4 linked regions of the Macaca mulatta genome follow. The protein of the gene in region 3 interacts with the protein of the main gene of each other region in a pairwise test. Links are inferred from orthologs where the notes say so. Each region holds a gene or a part of one and is shown on either strand. Other genes may lie near its edges. The genes, in order: TRIM21, PPCDC, TXN2 and RBM45.

What was found.
Region 1: the proteins of TXN2 (region 3) and TRIM21 interact in binary tests that used the Homo sapiens proteins (3 or more experiments, as listed by UniProt). The two-hybrid records come from large-scale screens. The link is inferred for Macaca mulatta from reciprocal best matches to the Homo sapiens genes TXN2 and TRIM21.
Region 2: the proteins of TXN2 (region 3) and PPCDC interact in binary tests that used the Homo sapiens proteins (3 or more experiments, as listed by UniProt). The two-hybrid records come from large-scale screens. The link is inferred for Macaca mulatta from reciprocal best matches to the Homo sapiens genes TXN2 and PPCDC.
Region 4: the proteins of TXN2 (region 3) and RBM45 interact in binary tests that used the Homo sapiens proteins (3 or more experiments, as listed by UniProt). The two-hybrid records come from large-scale screens. The link is inferred for Macaca mulatta from reciprocal best matches to the Homo sapiens genes TXN2 and RBM45.

Annotation. Positions count from the first base shown.
Region 1 is NC_133419.1:71,424,435-71,432,304, forward strand, and holds the start of TRIM21 (E3 ubiquitin-protein ligase TRIM21), read left to right. Parts: upstream 1-3,641; 5' UTR 3,642-3,651; intron 3,652-7,870. UniProt on the Homo sapiens protein: E3 ubiquitin-protein ligase whose activity is dependent on E2 enzymes, UBE2D1, UBE2D2, UBE2E1 and UBE2E2.
Region 2 is NC_133412.1:52,974,489-52,982,535, reverse strand, and holds the start of PPCDC (phosphopantothenoylcysteine decarboxylase), read right to left. Parts: upstream 5,185-8,047; 5' UTR 5,170-5,184; coding exon 4,933-5,169; exon of another isoform or gene 4,849-4,932; intron 2,853-4,848; exon of another isoform or gene 2,814-2,852; intron 1,355-2,813; exon of another isoform or gene 1,229-1,354; coding exon of another isoform or gene 1,202-1,228; exon of another isoform or gene 878-1,201; intron 548-877; exon of another isoform or gene 1-547. UniProt on the Homo sapiens protein: Catalyzes the decarboxylation of the cysteine moiety of 4-phosphopantothenoylcysteine to form 4'-phosphopantotheine and this reaction forms part of the biosynthesis of coenzyme A.
Region 3 is NC_133415.1:15,067,291-15,075,005, reverse strand, and holds the start of TXN2 (thioredoxin, mitochondrial), read right to left. Parts: upstream 4,846-7,715; 5' UTR 4,777-4,845; intron 4,519-4,776; 5' UTR 4,370-4,518; coding exon 4,361-4,369; intron 4,055-4,360; coding exon 3,792-4,054; intron 1-3,791.
Region 4 is NC_133417.1:83,058,754-83,066,038, forward strand, and holds the end of RBM45 (RNA-binding protein 45), read left to right. Parts: coding exon 1-87; intron 88-264; coding exon 265-349; exon of another isoform or gene 350-357; intron 358-560; coding exon 561-724; exon of another isoform or gene 725-764; intron 765-2,669; exon of another isoform or gene 2,670-2,715; coding exon 2,716-2,908; 3' UTR 2,909-2,916; intron 2,917-6,078; exon of another isoform or gene 6,079-6,116; 3' UTR 6,117-6,372; downstream 6,373-7,285. UniProt on the Homo sapiens protein: RNA-binding protein with binding specificity for poly(C). May play an important role in neural development.

The sequences.
Region 1 (7,870 bases), on a different chromosome or scaffold from region 3:
TCAAGCCTCAGCAACGGTGGATGCACCTCCCCCAGCCAGGCTTGCGGCCTCATAGTTGGATCTCCGACTAGCAGTAAGCAAGGCTCTATGGGCGTGGGTCCTGCTGAGCCAGGAGTGGGATATAATCTCCTGGTCTTCCATTTGCTAAGACCATTGGAAAAGTGCAGTGTTTAGGTTGCAGTGTTCAGATTTTCCTAGTACAATCTGTCATGACTTCCCTTGGCTAGGAAAGGAAATTCCCCCAACCCCTTGCACTTCCCAGGTGAGGCAATGCCCCACCCTGCTTCAGCTTGCCCTCCATGGGCTGTACCCACTTTCCAACCAGTCCCAGTGAGATGAACCAGGAACCTCAGTTGGAAATGCAGAAATCACCCGTCTTCTGCATCAATCACGCTGGGAGCTGCAGACCGGAGCTGTTCCTATTTGGCCATCTTGGAACGCTCCTCCCCACTTTCATTTCCATTCTGGTTTAGTGATCCCTATAAAATTCAGGGTAAATATAAAATTTTACCACTGACCAGGAAGTTTTTAATCCATATTTTAAGTTATAAAACATGTTTTGTTATACATAATGAAATTATTACTGCAGCCAAATTAACAATATATCATCTCACAGAATTACCTGTTCTTGTGGTAAGAATGCCAAAAATCTACTCTTAGAAAATAAGTTAATATTTCATTATACAAATACAGTCCTCATGTTATACAAAAGCTCTCTAGGCTTATTCATCCTTTATAGCTGCAACTTTGTACCCTTCACCTACATCTCCCTGTTTCTTCTCCTTCACTGCCCTGGGTAACCAGTTCTACACTCCATTTCTGTCTTTGACATTTTCTAAATTTCACATATCTTTCTGTGTCTGACTTATTTCACTTAGATGAAGTTGAGGACATCATGCTATTGTCACAAATGGCAGTATCTAGTAATGCTACAACTTCTCTAGCCATTCATCTGTCAATTGACAAGTAGGTTGATTCCATATCTTGGCTATTGTGAATAACAATTTTATGAACATGGAAGTGTGGTTATTTCTGCAAGGTGCTGATTTCATGCCCTTTGAGTAAGTACCAAGTAGAGGGATTCCTGGGTCTCCCTTTGAGTAAGTACCAAGTGAGGGATTCCTGGGTCTTATGTTCTGTAAACTGCATGGATATTCCTCAAGAGGTTTTCTATAACGGCTGATATGGTTTGGATTTGCCCAAATCTCATGTCAAATTGGAGGAGGGGCTGCTGGGAGGTGATTGCATCATGGGGTCGGATTTCCCCCTCGATGTTCTTGTGATAGTGAGTTCTCACGAGATTTGATGGCTTAAAAGTGTGTGGCACTTTTGCCTTCACACTCTCTCCTGCCATGTGAAGAAGTGCTTGTTTTCCCTTTGCCTTCTACCATGATTGTAACTTTCTTATGGCCTCCCAGTCATGCTTCCTGTTAAGTCTGTTGGACTGTGAGTCAAACCTCTTCTTAAATTACCCAGTCTCAGATAGCACCTTATAGCAATGTAAGGACAGACTGATACAATGGTCATACCAATTTGCATTTCATCAACAGCATACAAGGGTTTTCTTTTCTCCTTTACTTGGCCTACAGAAAGACTTAGACAACCACAAAATAATAGTGGGAGATTTCAACACCCCACCAATAGCATTAGACAGATCATTGAGACAGAAACTAACAAACTCTGGACTTAAACTCAACACTCAGAAAACTGGACCTAATAGACATCTACAGAACACCCCATAACCATGGAATATGTTCTTCTCATCTGCACATGGACCATATTCTGAGATTAACCACATACTTGGTCATGAAGCAAGTCTCAAGTTCAAAAAAAATGAAATCATACCAAGCACACCCTTGGATCACAGGTCAATAAAAATGGAAACCAATATCAAAAAGCTCTCTCAACTACACAAATGCATGGAAACTAAACAACTTACTCCTAAATAACTTCTAAGCAAACATCTAAATTAAGGCAGAAACTTAAAATTCTTTGAAATTAACAAAGATGGAGATACAATTTACCAAAATCTCTAAGATGCAGCCAAAGCAGTAAGAGAAAAGTTTATAGCCCTAAATACCTTCATCAAGAAGTTGCAAAGGGCTCAAATTAACAATCTAACTTTGTACCTTAAAAGGACTAGGAAAAAAATTCCCAGTGCCAGCAGAAGAAAAACATTAGAGAAAAACCTAATGAAATTAAGATACAAAAAATCCAAACAAAAGGTCGATAAACCCAAGAATTCTTTGGGGGGGAAATAAACCACAACTAATAGACCCTTAACTAGATTGAGATCCAAATAAGCATAATGAAATAACAAAGATAATATTACAACTGATCCCAAAGAAATGCAGAAGATCCCCAGAGACTACTATGAATGTCTTTAAGCACACAAATTAGAAAATTCACAGTGAATCAAGAGATTGAAACCCTGAAAAGCTTCAGAAATTGAATCAGTAGTAAAGAAGTTCTTAATCAATGTTAATGTCCAAGATATGATTTACGGCCCAAAGTGTGGTCTACTTGGTGAATATTCTACTTGGTTTACTTAAAGAATGTATATTCTACTGTTTAAATATATTGTGTGCATTTCGATTGAATACTGTTGGTTAAAATATGTTCAGTGTTAACTGGCTTTTCTATTTTTTCCCCATACCCTTATCTGCTGGATGCATTACTGATGGAGAAAGGCATTAATCTCAACCTTTAATAATGGATTTACCTATTTCTTTCAGTTCAGTTTTTTGCCTCACATATCTTGATCTATTGTGGGTACATACACACTAAAAATTCGTCTTTTCATAGACTTGACATCATTATCATACATTCCCTTTTATGCATAATAATATTGCTTTCTCTGGAGTTTGCTTTGACTGTAGTTGATATAGCTATTCCAGGTTAATTCTTTTAATTTTTAATTTTTGTGTGTACATAGTAGGTACATTTTAATGAGGTAAATAAGATGTTTTGATACAGATATGCAATACATAACACTCACATCATGGAGAGTGGGGTATCCAATCCCTCAAGCATTTATCCTTTGTGTTAAACAATTCAATTACTTAGTTACTTTGAAATGTGCTGTAACATTATTGTTAACTCGTCACCCTGTTGTGCTATTAAATAATAGATTTTATTCATTCTATTTTTTTACCCATTCACCATCCCCACCTTACCCCTCCTGTAACCTTCCCAATGCCACAGATAATTAAGAACATACAATATTTGTTTTTCTGTGCCTGTGCTACTTCACTTAACATTTTCATTTCCATCTATGTTGTTGCAAATGACAGGATCTCATTCTTATACACAATGGACCACTATTCATTTATATGTGCCACATTTATTTTATTCATCTGTTGATGGACACTTAGGTTGCTTCTAAATCTTTGCTATTGTGAACAGTGCTTCAAGAAAAATGCGAATAAAAAAATTTCTTCAATATACTGATATCATTTCTTTTAGATATTGTATTAGTCCATTTTCACACTACCATAAAGAATACCTGAGACTGAGTAATTTATAAAGGAAAGAAGTTTAATCGATTTAAAGTTCTGCGTGGCTGGGGAGGTCTCAGGAAACTTATGGCAGAAGGCAAGGGGGAAGCAGGCACCTTCTTCACAAAGCAGCAGAAGAACAGCAAGCAGGGGGAATTGCCAAATGCTTTTAAATCATCAGATTTCATGAGAACTCCCTCATTATCATGAGAACAGCATGAGGGAAACTGCCCTCATGATCCAACTGCCTCCCACTAGATTCTTCCCCAACATGTGGGGATTACAAATCAAGATGAGATTTGGGTGGAGACACAGCAAAATTACATCAACTATATACCCAGCAGTGGATTGCTGGACCATATGGTAGCTCTATTTTTAGTTTTTTGAAGAACCTCCAAACTGTTCTCCAGAATGGCTGTACTAATTTACATTTCCATCAACAGTGAATGAGGGTTCTCTTTTCTTGACATCCTCGCCAGCATTTGTTAGTGCCTGTCTTTTTTATATAAGACATTTTAACTGGGATGAGATTTATAGTTTTGATTTTCATTGCTCTGATCAGTAATGTTTAATGCCTTTTCATGCCTGTTTGCCATTTGTATGTCATCTTTTGAGAAATGTCTATTCAAATATTTTGCCCTTTTTTGGTTCAGATTACTAGGTTTTATTTCATATAGAGTTTGAGCTCTTTATTCTGGCTATTAATCGGATACATCATTAGATTTTTTTTAAAAGTTTTTCATCTTTTTTGATGTATGCAGTTACATCTATAAACTTCCCTCTTGCTGCTTTCACTATATCCTGTGAATTTTGGTATGTTGTTTCTATTTGTTTCAAGAAACTTTTCAATTTAATTTTTTCGTTGACCACTGGTCATTCAGGAGTGTATTGTTTAATTTCCATGTAGTTGTATAGTTTCCAAAATTCTTATTATTAACTTATAGTTTTAGTTCACTGCTGTCAGAGAAGATGCTTGACATTTGTACTGGTCAGGGTTCTCTAGAGAGACAGAACTAGTAGGATAGGTGTCTATATGAAAGGGAGTCTATTAAGGAGTATTAACTCACATGATCACAAGGTGAAGTCCCACAATAGACTGTCTGCAAGCTGAGGATCAAGGAAACCAGTCCAAGTCCCCAAACCTTAAAAGGAGGGAAACTGACAGTACAGTCTTCAGTCTGTGGCTGAAGGTCCCTAGTAAATCACTGGTGTAAGTCTAAGAGTCCAAAAGCTGAAGAACTTGGAGTCTGATGTTTGAGGGCAGGAAGAAGCACAGGAGAAAGATAATATCTGGAAGACTCAGCAAGTCTGCTTTATTCTAGCCACACTGGCAGTTGATTAGATGGTGCCCACTCACATTGAGAGTGGTTCTGCCTTTCCAAGTCCACTGACTCAAATGTTAATCTCCTTCAGCAACACCCTCACAGACACACCCAGGAACAATACTTTGCATCCTTCAATACAATCAAGTTGACATTTGTTAACTATCACAACATTATTTCAACTTTTTGAATGTGTTAGCACCTGTTTTGTAACCTAACATACGGTCTATCCTGGAATAATCCATGTGCTGAGGAAAAGAATGTGTATTTTGTAGTAACTGCACAAAATGTTCTCTAAATGTTCTCTATTAGGTCCATTTGGTCTATAGTGCAGATCGAGTCCAGTATTTCTTTTTCTGTCTGGAAGATTTGTCCAATGCTGAAAGTGGGGTGAAGTCTCCAGCTATTATTGTATTGGGGCCTACCTTCTTTAGCTCTAATATTTGCTCTATGTATCTGAGTCCTTCAGTGTTGGGTGCATATATATTTAAAATTGTTGTAACCTCTTGCACAACTTGACCTCCTTATCATTACATAGCAACCTTTGCCTCTTAGTTTTCATCTTAATCTACTTTGTCTGATGTAACTATTCTCATTCTTTTTTGGTATCTATTGGCATGGAATATTTCTCTTCATCTCTGTATTTTCAGTCTGTCTTTATAGATGAAGTGTTTCTTCTAGGCGACAGATCACTAGGTCTTGTTTTTATCATCCATTCAGCCACTCTTTTGACTAGAGAGTTTAGTCCATTTATGTTTAATGCTACTGATAAGTAAGGACGTAACTCCATCTTGCTGTTTTCTTGTTGTACAGTCTTCTCTTCCTCCTTTCCTTCCTGTCTCACTTTAGTGAAGGTAATTTTTTTTTTTTGAGGTGGAGTCTTGCTCTGTTGTCCAGGCTGGAGTGCAGTGGCATGATCTTGGCTCACTGCAAACTCTGCTTTACAGGTTCAAGCAGTTCTCCCACCTCAGCCTCCCAAGTAGCTGGGATTACAGGTGCCTGCCACCACGCCTGGCTACTTTTGTATTTTTACTAGACATAGGGTTTCACCATGTTGGCCAGGCTGGTCTCGAATTCCTGACCTCAGGTGATCCACCCACCTTGGCCTCTCACAGTGCTAGGATTACAGCCATGAGCTACCATGCCTGGCCAGGAATTTTTTTTCCTCTGGTAATATGACTAATTTATTGTTTTTTGTGTATCTATTGTAGGATTTTGGTTTGAAAGTACCATGAGGCTTCAAATACTATCTTTACAACCCATTTTTTATGCCAATTATATCTTAATCCTGTTCACATAAATAAGAAAAAACTAAAACTAAAACTTTGTTCCTGTGTTAGTCTGTTCTCACACTGCTAATAAAGACATACCTAAGACTGGGTAACTTATAAGGAAAAAAAAAAGGTTTAATGGACTCACAGTTCCATATGGTTGTAGAAGTCTCACAATCATGATGGAAGGCAAAGAAGGAGCAAAGGCACATTGTACATGGCAGCAGGCAAGAGAGAATGTGCAGGAGAACTGCCCTTTATAAAACCATCAAATCTCATGAGACATTCACTATCACAAGAACAGCATGGGAAAAACCTACCCACCCCCATGATTTAATTACCTCCCACAACATATGGGGATTATGGGAGCTACAATTGAAGATGAGATTTGGGTGGAGACACAGCTAGACCATATAATCTCCTGACTTTTTAATGTTTTATTTCTATCTTATTGTACTATTTCTTAAAGATGTTATTTTTGATCATCTTTTAGTCCTTCTACTTAGCATAAGAGTAGTCTCCACATCAGTTAGTATAATTATATTCTTTGTTTTTCTATGTACTTACTATTACCAGTGAGCAGATAATTTCTTCTTGCTCATTAACATCTTTCCTTTCTGATTGAAGTATTATTCTAGCATTTCTTGTAAGACAAGTCTGGTGTTGATTAAATCCTTCAGCTTTTGTTTGGGAAATTCTTATCTCTTTTTGACATTTGAAGAATATTTTTGTCAGGTATATTCTGGAATAAGTCTCTTTTCCTTCAGCTCTTTAAATATGTTTTGGTCTGTATGGTTTCCACTAAAAAGTCTGCTGCCAGATATATGAAAGCTCCATTGTATACTTTCTCAGGGACTAGAGTCAAAAACCTTAGTCTACCCAGCATTCTAATTGTACTGCAACTGGGCTGGCACCAAAAACAGAAGATGCAGTCCTTCCCACCTTTCTCTCCCCTTTCCAAAGGCAGGGGAGCCTCACCTCATGGCTACCACCACCTTAGGCCCATGGAAAATGCTGTCAGACCACTACCAATGTTCCCTTTAGGACCCAGGGCTCTTAAGTCAGCTTGTGGTGAAAGCTGCCTGGCCTGGGACTCTCCCTTCAGGGCAGTGGGCTCCCCTCTGGCCCAGGACAGGTCCAGGAATGCCACCTCAGTCAAGTCCTGAAACTGGGGACCTCAACAGCCTGCTTCATACTCTACCCCCTCCCACCATGCCTGAGCTGGCACACTTTACCCTCTGCTTTGCTCAAGTGGAAGTGTTGCCCCATAGCTACCACAGCTGGTAATGGGCTGAGTCTTACCTGAAGCCAGCATGTCTCAGAGGTTCAAAGTCCCTTGACATAGTACCTGGGTATTGCTGCTGTTTATTCAGGGCCTAAAGGCGCTTCAGTTAGCAGGTGATAAATGCTGCCAGGACTGCTTCCTTTCCTTTAAGGTAGCAGGTTCCCTTCTGGCCCAGGGTGTATCTAAAAATGTCATCCAGGAGCTAAGACCTTATGACTCTGACCAGTACCCTATTCTACTGTGGCTGAGCTGGTATACAAAATGCATAACAGTCCTCCCCACCCTTTTTTCTTTCCTCTCCAAACAGAAAGAAGCAGTCTCTTGTCGCTGTGAGCTGTGCAGCCTGGGAGAGTGGAGTGATGCAAGCACTGTTAGCAACCCTGGCTTGTGTCTGAGTAGGTCATGTGCTGCCCCCGTCTACCGTCTCTAGGCCCAGTTCCACACTAGGACTCATAGTTGCAGTTCTCGTGGCCTAAATTGCCTTTCAAGTTTAGA
Region 2 (8,047 bases), on a different chromosome or scaffold from region 3:
GACCAGAATGTATGCAGCACCACGTGTTAGGCCCCAGGCCAGAGGCTGAGGCAGCTAAAGGGATCAGCAGTCCCGGCTTCAGGGAGCACACAGTTTGAAAAGAAAGTGAGATGCCATCCCCACACCTGGGCCAGTCAGTCACAAGGGAATGTTGCAGTGCTGTGGGGAAGGGCTGTACCAGGTGCCGTGGCTGCTCAGAGTGACCATCTCTGGAAGTCAGAGGCTGCATCCCAGAAAAGATGATGTTAGGGTTGAGTCCTGAAGGACGAGTTAGTTTTTCAGAGATGGGAAGAAATCACTTCAAAAGAAGGTACAATCTTGCAAAGGTGAAAGTCCTGAAGGAGTGCGGCAGGTTGGGGAACAGGGAGTGCCTTAGTAGTGAAGCCAGAGTGTGATGTGGGGTGGTGGAGGGGTAGGAGGTGAGGCTGAAAGTCGGGGTGAGGCCAGAATGCCATGGGCAGCGAGGGCCAGGGTGAGGAGTTTCGGTTTTAGAAAGATGGTGCTGACACCTAGTGATAGTGTCAAAGGGACCCTGCTAATGGAGAGACTGGAGGGTGAGAGGAGCTGCTGCAGTGGACTGGGCTAATGGAGAGACTGGAGGGTGAGAGGAGCTGCTGCAGTGGACTGGGCTAATGGAGAGACTGGAGGGTGAGAGGAGCTGCTGCAGTGGACTGGGCTAATGGAGAGACTGGAGGGTGAGAGGAGCTGCTGCAGTGGACTGGGCTAATGGAGAGACTGGAGGGTGAGAGGAGCTGCTGCAGTGGACTGGGCTAATGGAGAGACTGGAGGGTGAGAGGAGCTGCTGCAGTGGACTGGGCTAATGGAGAGACTGGAGGGTGAGAGGAGCTGCTGCAGTGGACTGGGCTAATGGAGAGACTGGAGGGTGAGAGGAGCTGCTGCAGTGGACTGGGCTAATGGAGAGACTGGACTAGGAGAGGATGGGTTCCAAAGATGCTCATGTGGTGGAACCCTGGGCAACAAGGAGGTTTGGGTGCTCCAGGGAGCCAGGAGATTTACCTCTCTGTCCCTGTTTGTTAATCAAGATGGGCACCACCGTACAAATCAAAGCCCAAGAAGAAACCAGCATAAAGAGGATGCAGGCCACCCCAGGAGACCAGCTGGTTTGCTTCTTCCTCTGACTCTCAGACGTTGCTAGAAGTGAGTGCTCTTGATAATATGGCTGATGGACACCAAAACCTACACGTTGCAGGTTGGGCCAGCAGAACATGCTTCATCAGCAACCATCACTGAGGACCGATTACACTGAACACCATGCAAAAGAATTGTGGAAAACACAGTAGCTGCCTCTGGGGAATCTGTAGGTTGAGTTCGAGAAGACAGGAATCACACCTGTCTGAAATTATCTGATATCAGTCCTTCCCTGGGATGTACCTTTTTGGTGATCACAGACTCAATTTACACATCAGTTTCCTTGCCTCTCCCTCCACCAGCAAGCTCCCTGAATGTGTGACCAAGTCTAATTGCCAACCAGCAGTCCACTAGCTGGCAGTCCTGAACATGTGCTGAATGAATAACTATACCCTCCAAGGCAGTGTGGGGCAGAAGACAGATACCCAGCCTGTGAATCAGAAGCCCTGGGCCCTGACCATGGTGTGCTCCTGACCTGGAGTGACCTTGGTCCAGGGTCATTCCCTCCCTGGACCTGTCCCTTCATCAGAAAAATGAAGAGGTAGGACCAGATGATCTCTGAAGCTCCTTCCAGCAGAAACTTTGACTCGATACATGAAAGAGAGCAGTAAGGGCCTCTCCGTACAAGACAGAAGGTCCTAGAAGATACACTTTAAAAAGAACCAGCAGGGCAAGGGAAACCCAGGCAGCTGCCCAGGAAGCAATGCTGGTGAGTCGCCCAATGGCTCCCTCCATGGCTGAGCATCCACAGGGGCCTGTCTCCTCTTCGCTCACAGGCCCCTTGGCTCTCTAGCCTCTCTGCCCAGGATTTGCCTTCAGTACTTGGGCACAACCCACGTGGGCTGAGGATCATGCTTGGCTGCATTATCCCACTTCTCAGCAGGGGTTAACCACAGGCTGGTTCCCTAGGGCAAGATCACCCAAAGTTTGATTTGCCAGTAATCTCAATGTTTGCTCCACTGCAGGGCAATGCTTGGTCAGAGTTGGAGAACTCAGTTTACTCCAGGGAGTGGGGAACCCTGTTAGCATCTGACAAGGTACAGAGGGCCTACCAGCCAGCTGCTTCCCAGAACACATCATTGGTAGATGATGGGAGCACGTTGTTTATTCTCCAGGGAAACCTACCTGCCAGATCTCAAACCCTGACCCTGTCCCACCCTAGCCAACTGGTGCTAGGATAGGTAGATTCCTGCAAAACCAGAAGCCAAATTTTATCTCTGAGGCCCCTGAACCTCATCCGCATCAAGCTGATCTCATTCCTAGGAAACAGGTTACAGAAAGCAATCAGTTAAATTTGGGGCAGGAATCTGTGTTAGTGACTTCAACTGCTTCCCCACAGCAGGCACTATAGTCCGAAATATAGTACTTAGCCTGCTTAGTAAAGCTGTGCTAAGGATCAAACCTACCTACCTTCCTAAAAAAGAGGGTGTGTGTGTGTATGTGTGTGTTTAATATACTTGAGGAATAGAAAGTGGATCATTTAACCAACATTTGGAGGCGAGGTCAAATCAGTTCAACCTGAGAATTCCAGGAAGGGTGACGGCTGGCAGGATTCCTTTGTTTGCTTGCAAAGAGGATCAAATTCCAAACCAGTAAGTCTATTACTCTAACCAGATCCTGTTGGAGTCACCTATTTGCACGGGAAGGGTAGCTGGAGACAGTACCTCACTTCCCCGGGCTCTGCTGAACTCACAGGAACTCCTGAGCAGCAAAAAGAGTTGGCAAGCAGGCAGATTATGGGGCTACAGGCTGTGATTACTGAGCCTCAAGATCCCAGGGCACCAAGCCAAGCAGGCAAGCCACAGCCAGAAAAATGGCAGCTTCTCTATCCTCTAGAAAGACAGGGACAGACAGCGCAAAGAGCCTCGGCTTGTGTGTTTAAGTCTCCTCTGATGAGTTTAATTCAGGGCAGAGTTTTAGGTTTCAGGGATACCTGCCAGTCCCTATATGGGCAAAGGTGGAGCTGGCACAGAACAGACTAAAGACGGGAGCAAGGAAAGCAAGGTCAGACAGGGTATACATTCAAGCTCAATACAGGAAGGATGAGAACTGAGCCTGAGACAAAGCAGAACCAAACAAGGGAAGTGGGTGGTGGGTAGGCAGGGATCCAAGATCCATTATGAGCCCGAATCCTTTAGCCTAACATCAAAGCCCCTCACTACCAGCCGCCCAGGGTTCTGCTCCAGCTTACACCTGTAATCCCAGCAATTTAAGAGGGCAAGGTGGGGGGACTGCTTGAGCCCAGGCAACATAGCAAGACCCCAGCTCTACAAAAAATTTACAAATTAGGTGTGGTGGCACATGCCTGTGGTCTCAACTACTTGGGAGGCTGAGGCAGGAGGATCACTTGAGCCTAGAAGGCTGCAGTGAGCCATGTTTTTGCCACTGCACTCCAGCCTGGGTGACAGAGACTGTTTCAAAATATGTTGATAATAATAAATTATTATTGTAATTTATATTGTATAATTTAATAATAAATTATTATTAAATTGTACCACAATAAAAAAGTGTGTAACTATTTACATAGCATTTACACTGTATCAGGTTTTATAAGTAATCTGGAGATGATTTAAATTATATGGTGGGGCGTGGTAGCTTGGGCCTGTAGTCCCAGCTACTTGGGAGGCTGAGGTGGGAGGATCATGTGAGCCCAGGGAGTTCGAGGTTGCAGTGAGCTATGATCACACCACTACACTCTAGCCTGAGCAACAGAGTAAGACGCTGACTCAAAAAAAAAAAAAAAAGAAAAAGAAAAAAGAGTATACGGGAAGGCTGATGTGGTGGCTCACATCAGTAATCCCAGCATTTTGAGAGGCCAAGGGAGGAGGATTGCTTGAGCCAGGAGTTTGAGACCAGCCTGAGCAACATGGTGAGACCCTGTCTCTACAAAAGTAAAATAAAATAAAAATTAGCCGGGTGTGGTGGCTTATGCCTGTGGTTCCAGATACACAGGGGACCGAGGCAAGAGAATCCCTTGAGCCCAAGAGGTCGAGGCTGCGGTGAGCTATGTTCCCACCACTGCACTCCAGCCTGGGTCACAGAATGAGAAAAAAAAGTATACAGCAATCCCCTGCGGATACTGAGGGATGAATGTATCTAACACACACACTCACACACGTGGGCTACTAGAAAGGCAGTGATTGCGTACTGCTACTTTCCAGCCACTGTGAGAGAGATGGAAACCCCTGGTCCAAGACACCCACCACTTCCCCAACCTGGGAACCTCTCCGGCTCACCATCTAGCACCTGCTTCCAAATACTTCAAGGACAGCAGGAAGTTCTTTTTCGACAAGATTTGGCCTAATTTTTAAACGGCATTCTGCACTTTTTGGCAGGCCTAGGGCTACTTCCAATATCCCATGGCTTTCCTTTTTTAATTTTACCAACTTTTAAAATACACTTTGTATTTTGGGCAGCCCGAGTAAACGCTAAGTGTGAGGAGCTGACACGGCCATCATTTAAACTAGATTAAACGACGCTGGACAAATAATCGCAGAGCAGCACAAAGTTGGGCTGGACGTGCACAGATGGAAACCCTCCACTCCGGGCTCTGGAGTCCCTCCTGCTCCAGGCGGCCCCACCCGTACAGCCGGGAAACGGAGGTCGCACACATGCACAGCCGTCTACCCACGCACAGTCGCAAGCAGAGCTTCATGGCCACAGAGGGGAAAGTGAGGACACACACAGACAGCCACGGACCCACGCTCGCAGACACAGCTCCCCGAACCTCTCCTCCCGCGCCGCCGCGAGAACCCAGCTTCCCGGCCCCGTTCCACTGCTCACCCGCGCCAGGCGCGTCTCGGGGTCGACCCCAAATATCGCGGTATTTCTGCCGCCCTCCCGCGGAATCTGACTGTCACGCCTCACGAGAGCACCGTGGGGGCTGTGTGTCGCGCAGCCTTCTGGGAGCTGTAGTCCACTTCTCTGTCTTCCAGGAGTTATAGTCCACTGGGGAAATCCTGGAGCAAACCCTGGCTTCCTGTTCTTTGTATTGCTGGGACTCTCGATAGGGGCTGGCATAACTGTCCGACCGCCTCTCCTCACTCCTATCAGCCCCATACACACTGCTCGTTGCTTGGAGCCTTTTTTTTTTTTTTTTTTTTTTTTTTTTTGCTGTTGTCCCAGGTTTATTGAATATATTACAGTATCCCGAAAAGATTCAAACAGCTCTACATGGCGTTTTGAAATTCATCCCCACTGTCGGCTGAGTGACCTGCAGGTTGGACAGACTGCCAAAGTCCAAAAACATCAGCATTTCCTTAATATCAGGATCTGTTAATACTTCAGTGATCTCCTGATCCAGGCCTGAGACCTCGGGAACATGATCACCTCTCCTTTCTCTCTTCTCCTCCTGCAACTTGATGGAGATACCTCTCACTGAGCCCTTCATATCACCTTCATCACATGCATGTTCTAGCCTGCTATCTTGTTGGGGAGCTTTTTTTTTTTTTCCTTTTTGAGACAGGGACTGGCTCTGTCACCCAGACTGGAGTGCAGTGGTGCTATCTCCGCTCACTGTAACCTCCACCTTTCGGGCTCAAGCCATCCTCCTATCTCAGCCTATTGAGTAGCCGGGACTACAGGAGTGCACCATCATGCCAGACTAGTGTTTGTATTTTTTGTAGAGACGGGTTCTCACTCTATTGCCAAGGCTGGTCTCAAACTTCTAGGCTCAAGCAATCTGCCCACCTTGGCCTCCCAAAATGCTGGGATTACAGGAGTAAGCCACCGCACCCAGGCCTGGGGAGCTTTTTGCTGGAAATAATGGTGATCTCCTTTCACATGTGCTTGTTTGTGTGGAAGTTGCTGCCCGGGTGCGTGTAGTACTTTTTTATGACGGAATATAGAAAAGGGCCATCTTCACGGTGTTAGTGTGAATGGGGCCCATGTTGGCAGGTCCTTAGTAAAAGAGGGCTCGGGGCACTTAATGCTGAATATTTACCAAGGTTCTTCTATTTTAGGTGCACAGGATACACACAGGATACAGGATAAATCAGATGCGTCCCTGTTCTTGACACAAACAGGGACACAGAAAATGACAGGGTAAGATCCTCCATGAGGAAGCAACACCTCCAGGCAGGAAAGCCTTCTTGAAGGAGTGACTTGAGATGAATCTTGAAGGACAGCCAGGAGCTTAGATACAGGATCCCAACAGCAATCCAGGTGGAGGGCATCGAATGGGCAAAGGGAAGGCAGCAGGAGAATGCACATTGGGCATGCTTCCCTGCCCCTTTCATTTTTTAGCCTTCACAGGCCCCAGAAACCTCTGTATTCATTGAGGTGGCTAAAGCAGCTGTGGGTTCCCTGCCCTGAGCTGAGGTGGGGCCTCTGCTCTACCCCTGCCCTTGGCTGCAATGGACCATCTGGGCCAAACCATCCCTTACCCAGGGATCCAGCCTGCTTTTTTTTTTTTTTTTTTTTTTTTTTTTTTTTGAGATGGAGTCTTGCTCTGTCTCCCAGGCGTGATCTTGGCTCACTGCAAGCTCTACCTCCCAGGTTCACGCCATTCTCCTGCCTCAGCTTCCCAAGTAGCTGGGACTACAGGTGCCCACCTCCACGCCTGGTTAATTTTTTATATTTTTAGTAGAGATGGGGTTTCACCTTGTTAGCCAGGATGGTCTCAATCTCCTGACCTCGTGATCCACCTGCCTTGGCCTCCCAGAGTACTAGGATTACAGGCGTGAGCCACCACGCCCGGCTGATCAAGCCTGCTTCTTCCACTTCCTCCCCCCAAGGCAGGGGGCCTCGGTGGCAATTTCATCACCTACGCAAGGCTGCATCAGATAAAGAGCCACACAGGGTCGTATAGCTCTAGATCCCAGGAATGACAGACCACAGACCCACCCAGCCCCCATACTTTCATGCCCCTGCCCCACAGCCTGCCGTGAGGCTCCACGCAAGCCCACAGGAAGACACATGGCACAGCAGAACACACAGGGCCAAATGTTCCCCTTTATTATGGTTCACTCAGTTACCAAAGACAGACACATTGGCTCAGGCAGCTCAACTGCCAGCTGGGGAACATCCAGCTCCAGAAATAGGGAGCAGCAGCGGCACCAGGAGAATAGCAAAGCAGGTCACTGGGACCCCAGAACTGACCTGGGCCCTCCTCCACTTGACCCCAGGCCAGACCTTCCTGCAAAGATGAAATGTGTGCCCTGCCCCCACTTCTCATACTGGTTCCCTCCCTGGGAGAGTGCATAGTTGCCTGGAGATGCAGCATCCCAGGGCCTGAACAAGCTGGGCCACACACCAGGATCAGGCTTTCCCAAGGGTAAAGCCAGAGCGTGGCCATATAGGTCTGAGCCAAAGAGGCAGGTAGGACAGGATATTGATTGGAGGTAACATCCAACAGGTCATGGGTGCTAAGCAGGGAGCTAGATCACAGGCCTCCTGGAGCCACCAGAGAGAGAAGGAAAAGGGAGCCAAAGGTCTCAGGTAAGAGAGAGGAAGGGAAAGGGAAGAAGGGCCTAGACCTAGGGTCCCTTTTCAGGTACCAGGGACTGTGACCATTGCTCCCTAGAGAGAAAATGGGAGAGAGGAGAGGTAATTATATTTTGTGGCCCAAACCTAAAGGACCATCAGGAAGAGAACTTCCAGAGGTCCCTGGCTCAGGGTGGCCTGGAAGCCTAGGTGTTGGGTTCCAAGCTGAAGCCAGGCCAGAGTAGCCAAGCAGGGTTTGGATTTTTGTCCAAACAGCTCAGGCAGGCTTCTGTTGGGAGAAGGGAAGGTGGGAAATGGGCAGATGCTCTTTGGGTGAGAACCCACTCCCCTTCAGGCCCTGCACACAGCTGGAGCCTCTACCAGCCATGTTCTTATACTGCTTGGAATAGAACAGCCCCATGGGCCTAAAGCCACTCTCCTGAAAGTGCTAGGGAGTTCTGACTGGGTGAGGACA
Region 3 (7,715 bases):
TAAAAGAATATGGGATTGGGGCCGGGCACAGTGGCTCAAGCCTGTAATCCCAGCACTTTGGGAGGCCGACGCGGGTGGATCACGAGGTCAGGAGATCGAGACCATCCTGGCTAACATGGTGAAACCCCGTCTCTACTAAAAAATACAAAAAACTAGCCGAGCGAGGTGGCGGGCGCCTGCAGTCCCAGCTAATGTAGTCCCAGCTACTCGGGAGGCTGAGGCAGGAGAATGGTGTAAACCCAGGAGGCAGAGCTTGCAGTGAGCTGAGATCCGGCCACTGCACTCCAGCCTGGGCGACAGAGCGAGACTCCGTCCCAAAAAAAAAAAAAGAATATGGGATTGGAAGTTAAAAGGTTCAAACAGAGGCTCCTCACCAACCAGCCGATTATTCTGGGGTCCTAGTTTCTTCATCTGAAAAAGAGAGATTATGGCTCTCAAAGCTATTAGGAGAGATCAACTAAGGCAATGTGGGTAAACATGCGTTGGAAGCTGCGGGGTTATTGCAAACACCATGTGGACTCAGAACTAAAAGGAGGGGAACCAATGGCCAGGAGTGTCTACAACGCGCCAGTCCCTGGACAAGCACTTTTTCTGCTCTTACCAAACACATCCCTCAACTCTGCAAAGAGAACGCACCTTCCAAAGAAACTGAAGCCCATACGAGTTAAGAAACCAGTGCAAGATTAGAGAAGCACAGCCGGGATCGATCATAACCCAAAGCTGTGTTGAAAGTGTTTTCTTTAGCCGGGTGCGGTGACCCACGCTTATAATTCCAGCACTTTGGGAGGCCGAGGCAGGCGGATCACCTGAGGTCAGGAGTTCGAGACCAGCCTGGCCAACAACATTGTAAAACCTTGTCTCTACTAAAAATACAAAAATTAGTCAGCAGTGGTGGTGGGCACCTGTAATCCCAGCTACTAGGAAGGCTGAGGCAGGAGAATCGCTTGAACCTGGGAGGCGGAGGTTGAAGTGAGCTGAGAGATCATGCCACTGCACTCCAGCCTGGGCGACAGAGATTCTGTCTCAAAAAAAAAAAGAAAGTGTTTTCTTTCACCCACAGGCTACTCTGTGATCCCACAGCCCCTGAGTTGACCACTATCACTGCCCTGATCACAGGTTCCCCTCTTGCTGGGGAAGCTCATCCAGGACAGGCCTGGTGCTGTCATCTCTATGTATGTGGCACCAAGGACAGTGCCTGGCAAAGAATGAACAACTCACACCCCACTTCCTTACCAAACAAAATGAGGCACTACCCCATTTATCGTGCATTTCGGAAGCCCTCTCTGGAATGCTCACTACACCAGCAGGCCAAAACAGTTCCACCCTTCACAAACCCCTGGCTGACAACTCCTATTTTATTCTCAGCACTTATTTATCTATTTTTGAGATGGAGTCTCACTCTTTTGCCCAGGCTGGAGTGCAATGGCACGATCTTGGTTCACTGCAAGCTCTGCCTCCTGGGTTCAAGTAATTCTCCTGCCTCAGCCTCCTGAGCAGTAGGTGTGGTGGTACATACTACATCCAGTCAGGCCTGAGGGTTTTATTTATTTTTATTTTTTATTTATTTATTTTTTTTGAGACAGAGTCTCGCTCTGTCGCCCAGGCTGGAGTGCAGTGGCCGGATCTCGGCTCACTGCAAGCTCCGCCTCCCGGGTTTACGCCATTCTCCTGCCTCAGCCTCCCAAGTAGCTGGGACTACAGGCCCCCGCCAACCTCGCCTGGCTAGTTTTTTTGTATTTTTAGTAGAGACGGGGTTTCACCGTGTTAGCCAAGATGGTCTCGATCTCCTGACCTCGTGATCCACCTGTCTTGACCTCCCAAAGTGCTGGGATTACAGGCTTGAGCCACCGTGCCTGGTCAGGCCTGAGGATTTTAAATGCTGAAAATAGGCCAGGAGTAATGGCTCACACCAGTAATCCCAGCACTTTGGGAGGCCGAGGTGGTGGGGGGTGGGGGTCACCTGCAGTCAGAGTTCAAGAGACCCCTGGCCAATATGACGAAACCCCGTCTCTCCCAAAAACACAAAAAAATTATCTGGATGTGGTGGCAGGCACCAGCAGTCCCAGTTACTTGGGAAGCTGAGGCAGGAGAATCGTCTTAACTTGGGAGGCGGAGGTTGCAGTGAGCTGATCAAGCCACTGCAGTCCAGCCTGGGTGACAGAATGAGACTCCGTCTCAAAAACAAAAAAAAGAAAAAAAAACCCTCAGGCCTGGTGCAGTGGTTCACGCCTGTAATCCCAGCACTTTGGGAGGCCAAGGTGGGAGGACTGCTTGAGATCAGGAGGTAGAAACTGCAGTGAGTCGTGATCACACCATTGCACTCTACATTCTAGCCTGGGTGACGGAGTGAGACCTTGTCTCTAAAAGAAGAAAAACAAAAACAACTCATAACACCTAAAAACCCAGCGTGCAAGACCTTATCTCCTATTACAAGTGAAGAAGGGAGCACAAAGAGATCAAGCGGCCTGCCCAAGGCCACAGGGTAAGTCAGAGAAACAACTGGAAAGATGGCAGAACAATCTGTCAGAGACTGACCAGAAGGCCCTTCAATTTCTTTTTCTTTCTTTTTTTTTTTGAGATGGAGTTTCCCTCTGTCACGCAGGCTAGAGTGCAATGGCGCAATCTCAGCTCACTGCAACCTCCACCTCCCAGGTTCAAGTGATTCTCCTGCCTCAGCCTCTTGGGTAGCTGGGATTACAGGTGGCCGCCACCAGGCCCACCTAATTTTTGTATTTTTAATAGAGACGGGGGTTTCACCACGTTGGCCAGGCAGGTCTCGAACTCCTGACTTCAGGTAATCCACCCGCCTTGGCCCCTGAAAGTGCTGGGATTACAGGTGTGAGCCACTGTGCCCGACCTGAAGGCCCCTGAATTTTTAACTTCTGCTACACTGGTTTCTCCCAGGATGCCACATTCAGAGGGCTTTGTCCAGTTTTTGTGTAGCTGGGTCTCTAGCCAGGCCCCAAAGGTCTAGAAACAAAAAAGGCCAGGCTAAAAATCAGAAAGCCAGAGGGACTTAAATATCTCTAAAGCAAACTCAAGACAGCACTGAAAGGACACTCCTTCCTATGCCCTGTATGCTTGGACACCATGGTAATGACACTAACTTTTTTTTTTTTTGAGATGGAGTTTCGCTCTTTTTGCCCAGGCTGGAGTGCAATGGCATGATCTTGGCTCACTGCAACCTCCGCCTCCTAGGTTCAAGTGATTTTCCTGCCTCAGCCTCCCGAGTAGCTGGGATTACAGGTGAGCACCACCACACCTGGATGTAGAGATGGTGTTTCACCATGTTGGCCAGGCTGGTCTCAAACTCCTGACCTCAGGTGATCTGCCTGCCTCAGCCTCTCAAAGGTGTGCCTTGGCCTCTCACTACAGGTGTGAGCCACTGTGCCCGGCCGACACTGATAACTTTTTGCCAGCCCTTCTTGCAGTTTTCACGGCAAGGTATTAAAATAAACTCATCTGCAGGGCCAGGAACTGATATACACCAAAAGCAAGGTGACAGTCATATTTTTCCAACTCTGGTCCATGTTGAAGATGACGCTGAGCTTTCTGGACATTAAGAAACAGAACATGTGTTTCCCAGCACTAACTGCAGTCAGCTTGCAGACTGTTCACTCATCTGTCTTCTACTAGACTGTACTCCCCTTGAGGGCAGGGACTAGGCCTGACCAGTCTGTATACTGAGTCTACATATGAGCAGCATAGAACATGGTCCTGGGACATAGCAGGCATTCAACAAATACTTGAACAAGTAGGACCCTAGTCTTCCGTGGACCCCCAATACTCACTGTGCGTGGAAATCCACAACCACTGGCGTCTCACTGTTGACCACTCGGTCTTGAAAGTCAGGTCCATCCTGGATATTAAAGGTCGTCAAGGAGATCCTGGTGGTGTATATTGTCCGGGCTGGGTTGAGTGTTACAGTCAGGCCACCAGGACTGCATTGTGGGGTCTGCAGGGCTCTGGAAGTGAGGGGTGGCCACCGACCCTGAGAAGGATTCCTGGAGATGACGGAGGCCAGGAACCTCCTTAGGAGAAGTCGCTGAGCCATCTGTGAGGGAAGAGGCAGAAGAATTGGGGCACACAAAAGGAAGCTGACACACTAGAAAAATAAAGAGATTTGGGGATTAGTCGGGGCTCAAGAAGAGGCAGAGTGGGAAGCAAAATGCAAGGAAATAATATGTAAGATTTGTAGCGTAGAAGTGAGGAAGCTGAGAAACAAAGGAAAGGAATAGCTAGGCAAACCAGAAGGACAGGAAAACTGGCTTCACAACCAAAAAGAAATCGGGATTTAGATTATAACAGAAGAACGGGAGGGAGTAACCAACATTTAATAATTTATGTAAGGACCAAGTACCTTACACATATTCTTGATCTTCCTACAGCAACTTTGAGGAAGTTGCTATTGTACTGCCCACATTGCAAATAAGGAAAGGCATCCGAGGCTCAAGTAAGTTAAGTGACATGCCCAAAGTAACCCCACTACTGACAGCCAACACTGGAACCCAGGGTCGTCTGAAAAGATGAAACGCAACAATTGAAGGAGGATCTAAGAGTATGGTAGGAACCAAAAACGAAGAGACATGTACTGGAGGGAACTAATAAAGAAGGGACATGAATGGAGGGAACTGGGAAAAATCGGACGCCACCAGGGACCCCGGCTCTCCGGCGAGCTAGGTCCCCCCCACCCGTCCGGCCGCCAGCCTGCGCAGGAACGCGCTCGCGGCATGCCTATCACGACACCATCTCAAGCCAGCCCCACTGAGCTCCTACCTCCCTGCAACGCGAGCGGAGGGATGCACAGCTTAGCCCTCCCTGCCTGTCAAGGGCACTCCTGTCGTCACTTCCTCAGGGAGGCGGACATTAACGTCACTTCCGGGGACAGGCAGGCGGAACACCATCCCTCTCGAATATTTTTTTTTGAGACGGAGTCTCGCTCTGTCGCCAGGCTAGGGTGCAGTGGCGCGATCTCGGCTCACTGCAACCTCCGCCTCCCGAGTTCAAGCGATTCTCCTGCCTCGGCCTCCCGAGTAGCCGGGACTAGAGGCGCACGCCACCACGCACAGCTAATTTTTGTATTTTTAGTAGAGGCGGGGTTTCACCATATTGGCCAGGATGGTCTCCATCTCTTGACTTCGTGATCCGCCCGCCTCGGCCTCCCAAAGTGTTGGGATTACCGGCGTGAGCCACAGCCCCCGACCTGTCCCTCTCTAATTTGAGGAGCGTCTGGGATTTTCCGCCAATAGGAATGGCGGGAGGAGGCACAACTGAAAGGGCGGGGCCTCAACTAGGGACCGGAAGCAATGGGCAGGCCGTCGGGGGAGGGATTGGAAGAGGCGGGCAGGCCCTGGTCGAGACGAAGGCTGGCGCGGGGCGGAACCGGAAGGGGTGGGCGGGCCCTAGAGGAGGGACCGGAAGAGGAGGTGATGGCGCCGGGGTAGCAATGAAGGGTGCTTAAGGGAGAAAAGGCAGTTGAGAGGTCCCCGTGGTTTTTGATTTTGTCAACTACTGTTGCTTGATTTTAATTATATTTATTTATTGGTTAATGACAGAGTCTCGCTCTGTCTCCCAGGCTGGAGTTGCAGTGGCGCGATCTCGGCTCACTGCAACATCCAACTCCCGGGTTCAAACGATTCTCCTGCCTCAGCCTCCCAGGTAGCTGGGATTACAGGCGCGCGCCATCACGCCGGGCTAATTTTTGTATTTTTAATAGAGATAGAGTTTCGCCATGTTGGCCAGGCTGGTCTGGAACTCCTGAGCTCAAGTGATCCGCCCGCTTCAGCTTCCCAAAGTGCTGGGATTACAGGCGTGAGTCACTTTGCTTAGCCTCCTGTTTATAACTGGCGCCGTCCACTTCCTACAGATGTTGACAGGTTCTGTTTCTTCATTTAATAAGTAAAGCTAAGCTCTTCAAAGGCATGGTGCCCTTTATATGTAAAAGAACTCACCCGTGGTTTAGGGGTCATCCTTAAATGGCCCTCGTCTGTGTCCACCTAAAGGAAAACAAAAACTGAGGCGAGCTTAATTTAAGCAGGGAGTTTATTTGGGTCAAGTTCGAAGACTGCAACTTGGAGCAGAGATTCAAGTTGTCCTGAATATACACTTGGATTAGCAGCAGCTGAAAGAGCGTTTTGTTTTTTGTTTTTTTTGTTTTTGTTTTTTTTTGAGACGGAGTCTTGCTCTGCCGCCCAGGCTGGAGTGCGGTGGCCGGATCTCAGCTCACTGCAAGCTCCGCCTCCCGGGTTCCCGCCATTCTCCTGCCTCAGCCTCCCGAGTAGCTGGGACTACAGGCGCCGCCACCACGCCCGGCTAGTTTTTTGTATTTTTTAGTAGAGACGGGGTTTCACCGTGTTAGCCAGCATGGTCTCGATCTCCTGACCTCGTGATCCACCCGTCTCAGCCTCCCAAAGTGCTGGGATTATAGGCGTGAGCCACCGCGCCCGGCTTTTTTTTTTTTTTTTTTTTTTGAGACGGAGTCTCGCTCTGTCACCCAGGCTGGAGTGCAGTGGCCGGATCTCAGCTCACTGCAAGCTCCGCCTCCCGGGTTCACGCCATTCTCCTGCCTCAGCCTCCCGAGTAGCTGGGACTACAGGCGCCTGCCACCTCGCCCGGCTAAGTTTTTGTATTTTTAGTAGAGACGGGGTTTCACTGTGTTAGCCAGGATGGTCTCGATCTCCTGACCTCGTGATCCGCCCGTCTCGGCCTCCCAAAGTGCTGGGATTACAGGCTTGAGCCACCGCGCCCGGCCGCGCGTTTTTAAAGGAAAAGAACAGGCAGTTTCTCAATTGTTGATCAATACTTTTTTTCTTTTTTTGAGACAGAGTCTGGCTCTTGTTGCCCAGGCTGGAGTGCAGTGGCGCGATCTCGGCTCACTGCAACCTCTGCCTCCTGGGTTCAGGGGATTCTTCTCCCTAAGCCTCCCGAGTAGCTGGGACTACAGGCATGCCTCACCACGCCCAGCTAAGGAGTTTCACCATGTTGGCCAGGATGGTCTCCATCTATTGACCTCGTCATCTGCCCACCTCAGCCTCCCAAAGTGCTGGGATTACAGGCCTGAGCCACCTCGCCCGGCCTCTTTTTTTTTTTTTTTTTTTTTTGAGAGACGGAGTCTTGCTCTGTAGCCAGGCTGGAGTGCAGTGGCATGATCTTGGCTCACTGCAACCTCCACGTCCTGGGTTCAAGCGATTCTCCTGCCTCAGCCCCCCAAGTAGTTGGGATTACAGGTGAGCACCACCACACCCGGCTAATTTTTTATATTTTTGGTACAGACTGGGTTTCACCATGTTGGCCAGGCTGGTCTCGAACTCCTGACCTTAAGTGATAGCTCGCCTCGGCTTCCCAAAGTGCTGGGATAACAGGCATGAGCCACCGCTCCCGGCCGCCCTGCCAATTTTTGTATCTGCTTTTCTGTCTCTAGCACTTTCTCTTCCACAGCTACCTATCAGTCCTATTCAGCACTTCCACAGTATTTTCTAGAGAGCCAATTTTGCCGCTTAATTCACATTCTGAATTTCAAAGGAGGACCAGTCCTGTTTGTCCTTTTCCCATAGTCACTTCACCCTGATTGGCCTCAGGTTTCTCATCTGAGCAATGGGAAGAATAATGCCTTTCTCACAGTTGGGCTGTGGGTTGCAGTAGAGACAGAATCCATGTCATTGCTGCCTGATGACTCATGCAGGGAAAGCCTGTGAGACACATAGAGAAGGCTGAGC
Region 4 (7,285 bases), on a different chromosome or scaffold from region 3:
TGCAAAATACAAATTACATGGATTTCAGTACCCTCCTGGGAATCGAATAGGTGTTTCCTTCATTGATGATGGAAGTAATGCAACAGAGTAAGTACCATTCCAGGAGTGTCTAAAGCCGAGCTTTGAGTGTACATGATTGATAGGACTTGAAGAATAAAAATAGAAAACAGTTGACCTCTCAGGTGAGAAAGTCACACAAAACAAGTTACTGTTAAAAGACTGAATATTTTTAGTTTTCTGTAAATTATCAGTTATTGTCTCCAGTCTCCTTAGAAAAATGGCAACACAGATGGTAGCTGCACAGCTTGCATCAATGGTGTGGAATAACCCAAGTCAGCAACAACTTATGGTAAGTAGGTAAGAATTTAACCTTTATAATATATCAATAGCATATAAAATAAATGTGAAGAGAAATCATACTTTGTTGATTGTCTATGTAAGAAAATTTTCAGAGCTATAGTGGAAGACCACATAGATGCCATGATACATATCTGTCTTTAGCTCTTGGCCAAAAATCCGTAAAGGGCATTTTTTTCTTTTTCTTGTTTACCTGTTAACAGCAATTTGGAGGAAGCTCTGGATCACAGTTGCCTCAAATCCAGACAGATGTTGTACTTCCATCATGCAAAAAAAAAGCTCCTCCTGAAACTCCTGTGAAAGAAAGACTTTTTATTGTGTTTAATCCTCATCCTTTACCTTTAGACGTATTAGAAGATATATTCTGGTAAGAAAGTTACACTTTTTGTTATATTTTATTTACACTAGTAATTTAATTATTCTCATAATCTAGACACTTCCTTCCTCCAGTACCTATCAGGTAGAGATGATTTGTTCTCTGGTTTTAAAAACTCCTCATTTGTATCATCTTTTTCAATTTCTGATTATTTTCTTCTCTTGTTTATCAGTCACACATCCTAAGGCTCCATACAGAATTTCCTGCTACTTTGTTTTTGAAGACATAAAATGGGCCTGGTGCAGTGGCTCATGCCTGTAATCCCAACACTTTGGGAGGCTGAGGTGGGAGGATCACTTGAGCTCAGGAGTTCAAGATCAGCCTGGGCAATATGGCAAAACCCCATCTCTACAAAAAAGACAAGAATTAGCCAGGCATGGTGGTACATGCCTTTGGTCCCAGCTACTTGGGAGGCTAAGGTGGCAGGATTGCTTTTGCCCAGGAGGTCAAGGTTGCAGTGCGCCAAGACTGTGCTACTGTACTCCAGCCTGGGTGACAGAGTGAGACCCTTTTTGTTTTTAGTGTTTTTTTTACTAAGCATCTTCTGTTTTGTTGGTGCATTGTTGGATCCTTAAGGGTTATCCATTTGCATTGTGTAAACAATTACTTGATTGTAGGGAAATACATATAAATGTTTTTTATAATAAAAAAGAGAAGTTTCTTATTTATTTTTGTGTTTTTAACATAACTCCTTTCTTCGATTTTTCTTTTAGGCCTTTTTCCCATTTGCCTTATAAGAATGTTAGTGAATTAGATAGATAGAAAACTTGTTAAAGAACTGCACAAAATATCAGGGACATAATGTGATAGTATATTGAGGCTCAAAAGGAAAAAAAATCAGGACATGGTTCAAGTGTTTTGACCTTTATTTAACTGATATATTTAGTTTTTTTCTTGAACCTCTTCTTTGTTCAAGGCAGGAACTGTGCTAAGTACAAGAGACATTATGTAAACAAAATATTAAATGGACAAGACATTATAGTTCTTGTCATCTTAGAGCTGATCTCATGTAGGAAACAGACAGGTAAACAGAAAATTACAACCCGGTGTGATTGTTGCTGTGATAAGGAATGTGTAAGATACATAGGAGGAGCAGTTACCTTAGAAACTCTGAGAAGCCTTGAAAGAAGGCAGGTGTATGTGGAGACCTGAAGGATAAAAATAATTTCTCCACAGGTGAAAGCTGGGAGTGTGCATGGTTATTTCTGCCATAGAGAATATAAAAGAAGGGCTATTAGATAGGTAATTTGAGAGATTGTTAGGGAAGATGAAACTAAAGAGTCCAAGGACCATGTTAGAAAGGCTCTCGAGCTATCTTAAGGGATTTGTTGTCACCATGGAGGCAGTGGGGAGCTGCAGAGGGGACTTTTAGGGAGTAAATGATCATATTTATGTTTTAGAAAGATCACTGAAAAGACAGAGTGGAAAATGGATTGAAGAGGGACAAGCCCAGGGTTAAGGAAACTAGTGAAAAAGGAATTAGATTAAGGAAAAGATGATGGTCTTAATGAGAATGAATAGAATTGACTGACTGAGATGTTTAAGATGACATGAGGCCGGGCGCGGTGGCTCAAGCCTGTAATCCCAGCACTTTGGGAGGCCGAGGCGGGCGGATCACGAGGTCAGGAGATCGAGACCATCCTGGCTGACACGGTGAAACCCCGTCTCTACTAAAAAATACAAAAAACTAGCCGGGCGAGGTGGCGGGCGCCTGTAGTCCCAGCTACTGGGGAGGCTGAGGCAGGAGAATTGCGTGAACCCGGGAGGCGGAGCCTGCAGTGAGCTGAGATCCGGCCACTGCACTCCAGCCTGGGCGGCAGAGCGAGACTCCATCTCAAAAAAAAAAAAAAAAAAGATGACATGAGTTGGATGTCAGATGTGGGGAGAAGGGTGAAAAAGGAGTTAAGAATGGACTCCAAATTTTAGACCTGAGAAGCTGTATTTATCAATTTTGGTTGATTATTTTTTTCACTTTGTTTCAGTCGTTTTGGTAACCTGATCGAAGTTTACCTTGTATCAGGAAAAAATGTGGGGTATGCCAAGTATGCCGATAGAATAAGTGCTAATGACGCTATTGCCACTCTACATGGGAAGATTCTGAATGGGGTGAGACTTAAAGTTATGCTGGCAGATTCGCCAAGAGAAGAGTCTAACAAACGGCAAAGAACTTACTGATTCTTGAGGTAAGCCCTTTTTAATCTGAATTTTAAAACATATTGAGTAAATAGTATATGAGGAATATGTGTAAGTACTTTATGAACTTTTCTTTTTAGTGATTTAGAAGTTGTCAGTTAAAAGAGCTTTGCAACTATTTAAACTTTAAAAATTGTTGACATTTACTGAAGAATGTTTTTGCCCTTCTATAAAATAAAACCACATTTCAGTTTAGAAAGATAATTGTTTTTTGTTTGTGAAATCTTAGATTTTAAGAATTTGACTTTTTATTATGTGCTTATATAAACTTTAAAATTGTCCAGTGCTAGAATAAGGATTGCTTTAAAAAAAAAATTGAAATACTTCTAAAGATTTTTAACTTGAAGAATTGGTGTCTTGAGTTATGAATTGAGGTAATTTATAACAGTCGTTTAGAAAGATAATGTTTTGACTTCTCTCTAATGAAATGCCTAAAAAGCAATATCAAATAATATATCATTTTTGGACCTTTTGAACCTAAATATTGGTGTTTTCTGGACTTATATTTGTGAGTTTTTGCATTAAAACAGTACCTTCAGAAAATATTCTCGTGTGCATATATGTATTTTTTAAGAAAACCTAACAATTTACCAAAAACTCTTTATTGTAAATTTTGATACATACAGCCATATGAATTCCATTTCCTATTTTATTTATTAGTTTCCAAAAATCAAACTACAATTTCTTTGACTGTGACAGTTAGTTTATATCTGTGTGGTTTGGGGAAATATTCCTTTGGCTTTTTTTTTTTTATCTTTTTTTCTGAGACATCTCGGTCTGTCACCCAGACTGGAGTGCAGTGGTGAGATCTCAGCTCACTGCAACCTCCACCTCCTGGATACAAGCGATTCTCCTGCCTCAGCCTCCCCAGTAGCTGGGACTACAGGCGTGTACCACCACACCCGGCGAATTTTTCGTGTTTTTGGTAGAGACGGGGTTTTACCGGGTTTCGATCTCCTGACCTCGTGATCTGCCCGCCTCAGCCTCCCAGAGTGCTGGGATTACAGGCATGAGCCACTGTGCCCAGCCTAAAGTTTGGCTTTTTTTATTCTGTAAAATAATTCTGAATTTCAGGGGAAGCTGTTTTCCTGTTCACACACACCAACTTTCCAAGTCTACTATAGGTCAAATGTAGTAGATGGCAGGCACTTTGAATTCAGTTTGAAGTTACTGGCTTGAAACCTTTATTTTTTTCACTTAAGATTTTCTTTCTGACCAATTGTGTGAGCTAGCACATATGAGAATGAATCCTGCCAGGCATCACTGCTGATGACCCTTCCTCTCCTAGAACAGATCACATAATTAGTTCCTCCTTCATAGAAGGCATTTGACAAGAGAAAGTGCCCATTGGGCCCATTATGAATAATCCTAATTTTTAAATCTTTTAAAATGTTTTATTAAATGACAAAACCACTCTCATCGTACCATACATTGTTAGCAATTTAACCCTGGATATATTAAATTGGCAGTGAGAAAGAATTAGCAGGCATTTTTTCCTGTTTATGGATAAAATGTTAAGAATGAATTCTGTTTGGACAAGCTATTCTCTAGCATGCAAAAAATGTGTTTTTTCTAGTCTGTGAGTATTTCAAGAATAGGAAATAGTTCTTGCTTTTACTCAATAAATCTTTGTCCTTAAAAAGGACAATAATATAGACTTTAGACTTCTCAGTATAGAAAACTATATAAATTACTCTTATGGTTGAACCTTTTCTAATGATTATTTACATGTTAAAGAGATTATTGGGCTTAAAATAAAAAGCCATTTAACTGTGACTGAGCTGGTCTCTACGCCGTTTTTTTTTTTTTTTTTTTTAAACACAGAATCTCACTCTGTCACCCAGGCTGGAGTGCAGTGGCCTGATCTTGGCTTACTACAAACTCTGCCTCCTGGGCTCAAGCAGTCCTCGCAGCTCAGCCTCCCCAGTAGCTGGGACTACAGGCATGTGCCACCATGCCCGGGTAATTTTTTTTTTGTAAGACAGGGTTTTGCCGTGTTGCCCAGACTGGCCTTGAACTCCTAAGCTCAAGTCATCTGCCTTCCTCGGCCTCCCAGAGTGCTGGGATTACAGGCATGAACCACTGCACCTGACCCTCTTTGCCTTTTTGAGCCCCAGTTTTCTCATAGGGCTTTTGAGAGACAATGAGTCAACAAAATTCCTTGTAAAATGAAAAAAAGGCTTTGCAAGTCTAAGCTAAAACTCTTGCATTTGTAGCTTCAGTGAAACCTTTGAGATGTCCTCTTATCTAAAATAATGACATCCAAATGATCAGAAACTAAAAGTATAATGATATAAAACTACCTCATGGCCAGTTGGTACTGTGAGAACTAAGCCTTATAATACCACATTTTTCCCTGAAACTCATCCAATTTCCTACATTAGAGGAATTGCATATTCAGCATGGCTGTTCACAAAAATTTTAATCTATCATTTTTCCCTTTTTTGAACTGTTACACATATTCAGGGCAGAGATAAAATAGGGGTCAGGTTAGTTGAAATGGCTATTTGGATAGGATACGATTAGCTACACGGTTTTGAATTTCTTTTAATTGCAGCATGGCTTTTTTATTTTTGCTGCGGATCTTCTATTTACAATGGACTCCATTATGAGACTCTTCTTCTTTGTTGGTGTATTAAATAAATATATTACCTTATTTTAAGGTTCGATAAAATACTGTGGAAGACTTTCCCAAATTTTATATGATTGTGACAAGTTTTGGGGGGTAGGTGCACTTTTTTGTTTGTTTCTTTAATTTTTAAGAGGCTGCAAACACCATTCATGAAGGCTGGTTTATTTTATCTCTGAGGTATGGGCCTGGGATTAAGTGAGTCATGCCCAGGAAATAGAAGCAGCTGATCCAAGGATATAACATTGAAAGTAGTTGAGTTCTATTTTGAGATGGGTCTGATAACCACAATGTAATTCTCTATTTGAGGAAAATAGAAATTTTAGTATTTCAGAGAATCGGATTTTTTATTAATTCACAACACTTTCCCTCTAGAAATTCAGCACCTGCATCGCCCTTCTGAGTAAGTTTGGTTTTATTTGGGGGCAGCTATGATTAAGCAGATAACATTGGGTATATTGAAATAAAGGAACAATTCCTAACATTTTAGGAATACTACAACAGTTATTTCCTTTCCTTTCAGGTGATGATTTTCATACTTGTGTTGTGTTCTTTCTACAGAACAAAGACTAAATAATGACATAATCCTCAGCTGACTGACTGAAAATGTGACTGGACGCATTCCCTGTGGACAGTTGACAGCTTTTTTTTCATATACCTGATAGTCTGTGTACAGCATTGTTTTGTCTGGGAAGCAGGGATTGCTGACATGTATTTTTGAATCCATACATTAATGCTAAAACGAATATAGTAGTTGTTCCTTAGAGCAATATGTTGTTACGTGTAGCAGAAATAAAGTTTTCTTTGCTTAACTAAATGATGACTTATTTATGTGAAAGACAAGAATGGAAAAATTCAATAGACAGTCTTTAGAATTTGACTAAATGACATATGTCATTGATTTTGAGATGCACATCTTTCTCATTCTAACACCCCTGAAAGTAGAAGCATCTCGATATCAGTTGTATCGCATAATGTAATTAACAACCTTATTTTCTTTCTTAATAAAACATGAAAAGGTGCTTTTTTTCAATCAATTGCATCTTAGAGTCAATAAAATATGGTAATTGCTACTCAATCTATACATGGAGCTTAACTGTTTACACTTAATCTAAGGACAAAAGACAAAAATCATTGGAAATATTTTATACAGTATTTTTTTTAGTTATACCAAAATGTGTTGGTAATTTTGTAAAGCTCTTTTAAGATTATAAGGGAACAGTGATAAAAAAAAAATTAAAACTTGTTGATAATAAATTTAAATAAATGTCAGTGGCTTTGGGGGATGGACATTTTTATCTTTATAGAAATAATAGCCACTCCAAAAATATGAAATGTAAGGAATTTTCAAAACAGACTACAATAGGAGGTATAGTTATTTTGAAATTAAAGATTAAAAATTAGGGCTGGGGGTGGTTTGCTCACCACACCTATAATCCTGGCACTTTAGGAGGCCAAGGTGGGAGGATCACTTGAGCCCTAGAGTTCAAGAGGAGACCAGCGTGGGCAACATAGAGGACCTGGTCTCTACAGAAAATTACGAAATTAGCCAGGCGTGGTGGTGTGTGCCTATAGTCCCAGCTACTCAGAAGGCTGAGGTGGAAGGATTGCTTAAGCCTAGGAGACCGAGGCTACAGTGAGCCACAATAGTACTGCTCCAGCCTGGATGACAGAGCGAGACCCTGTCTCAAAAATAAAAACTAAAACTAAATAAAGATTTAAAATTAGGG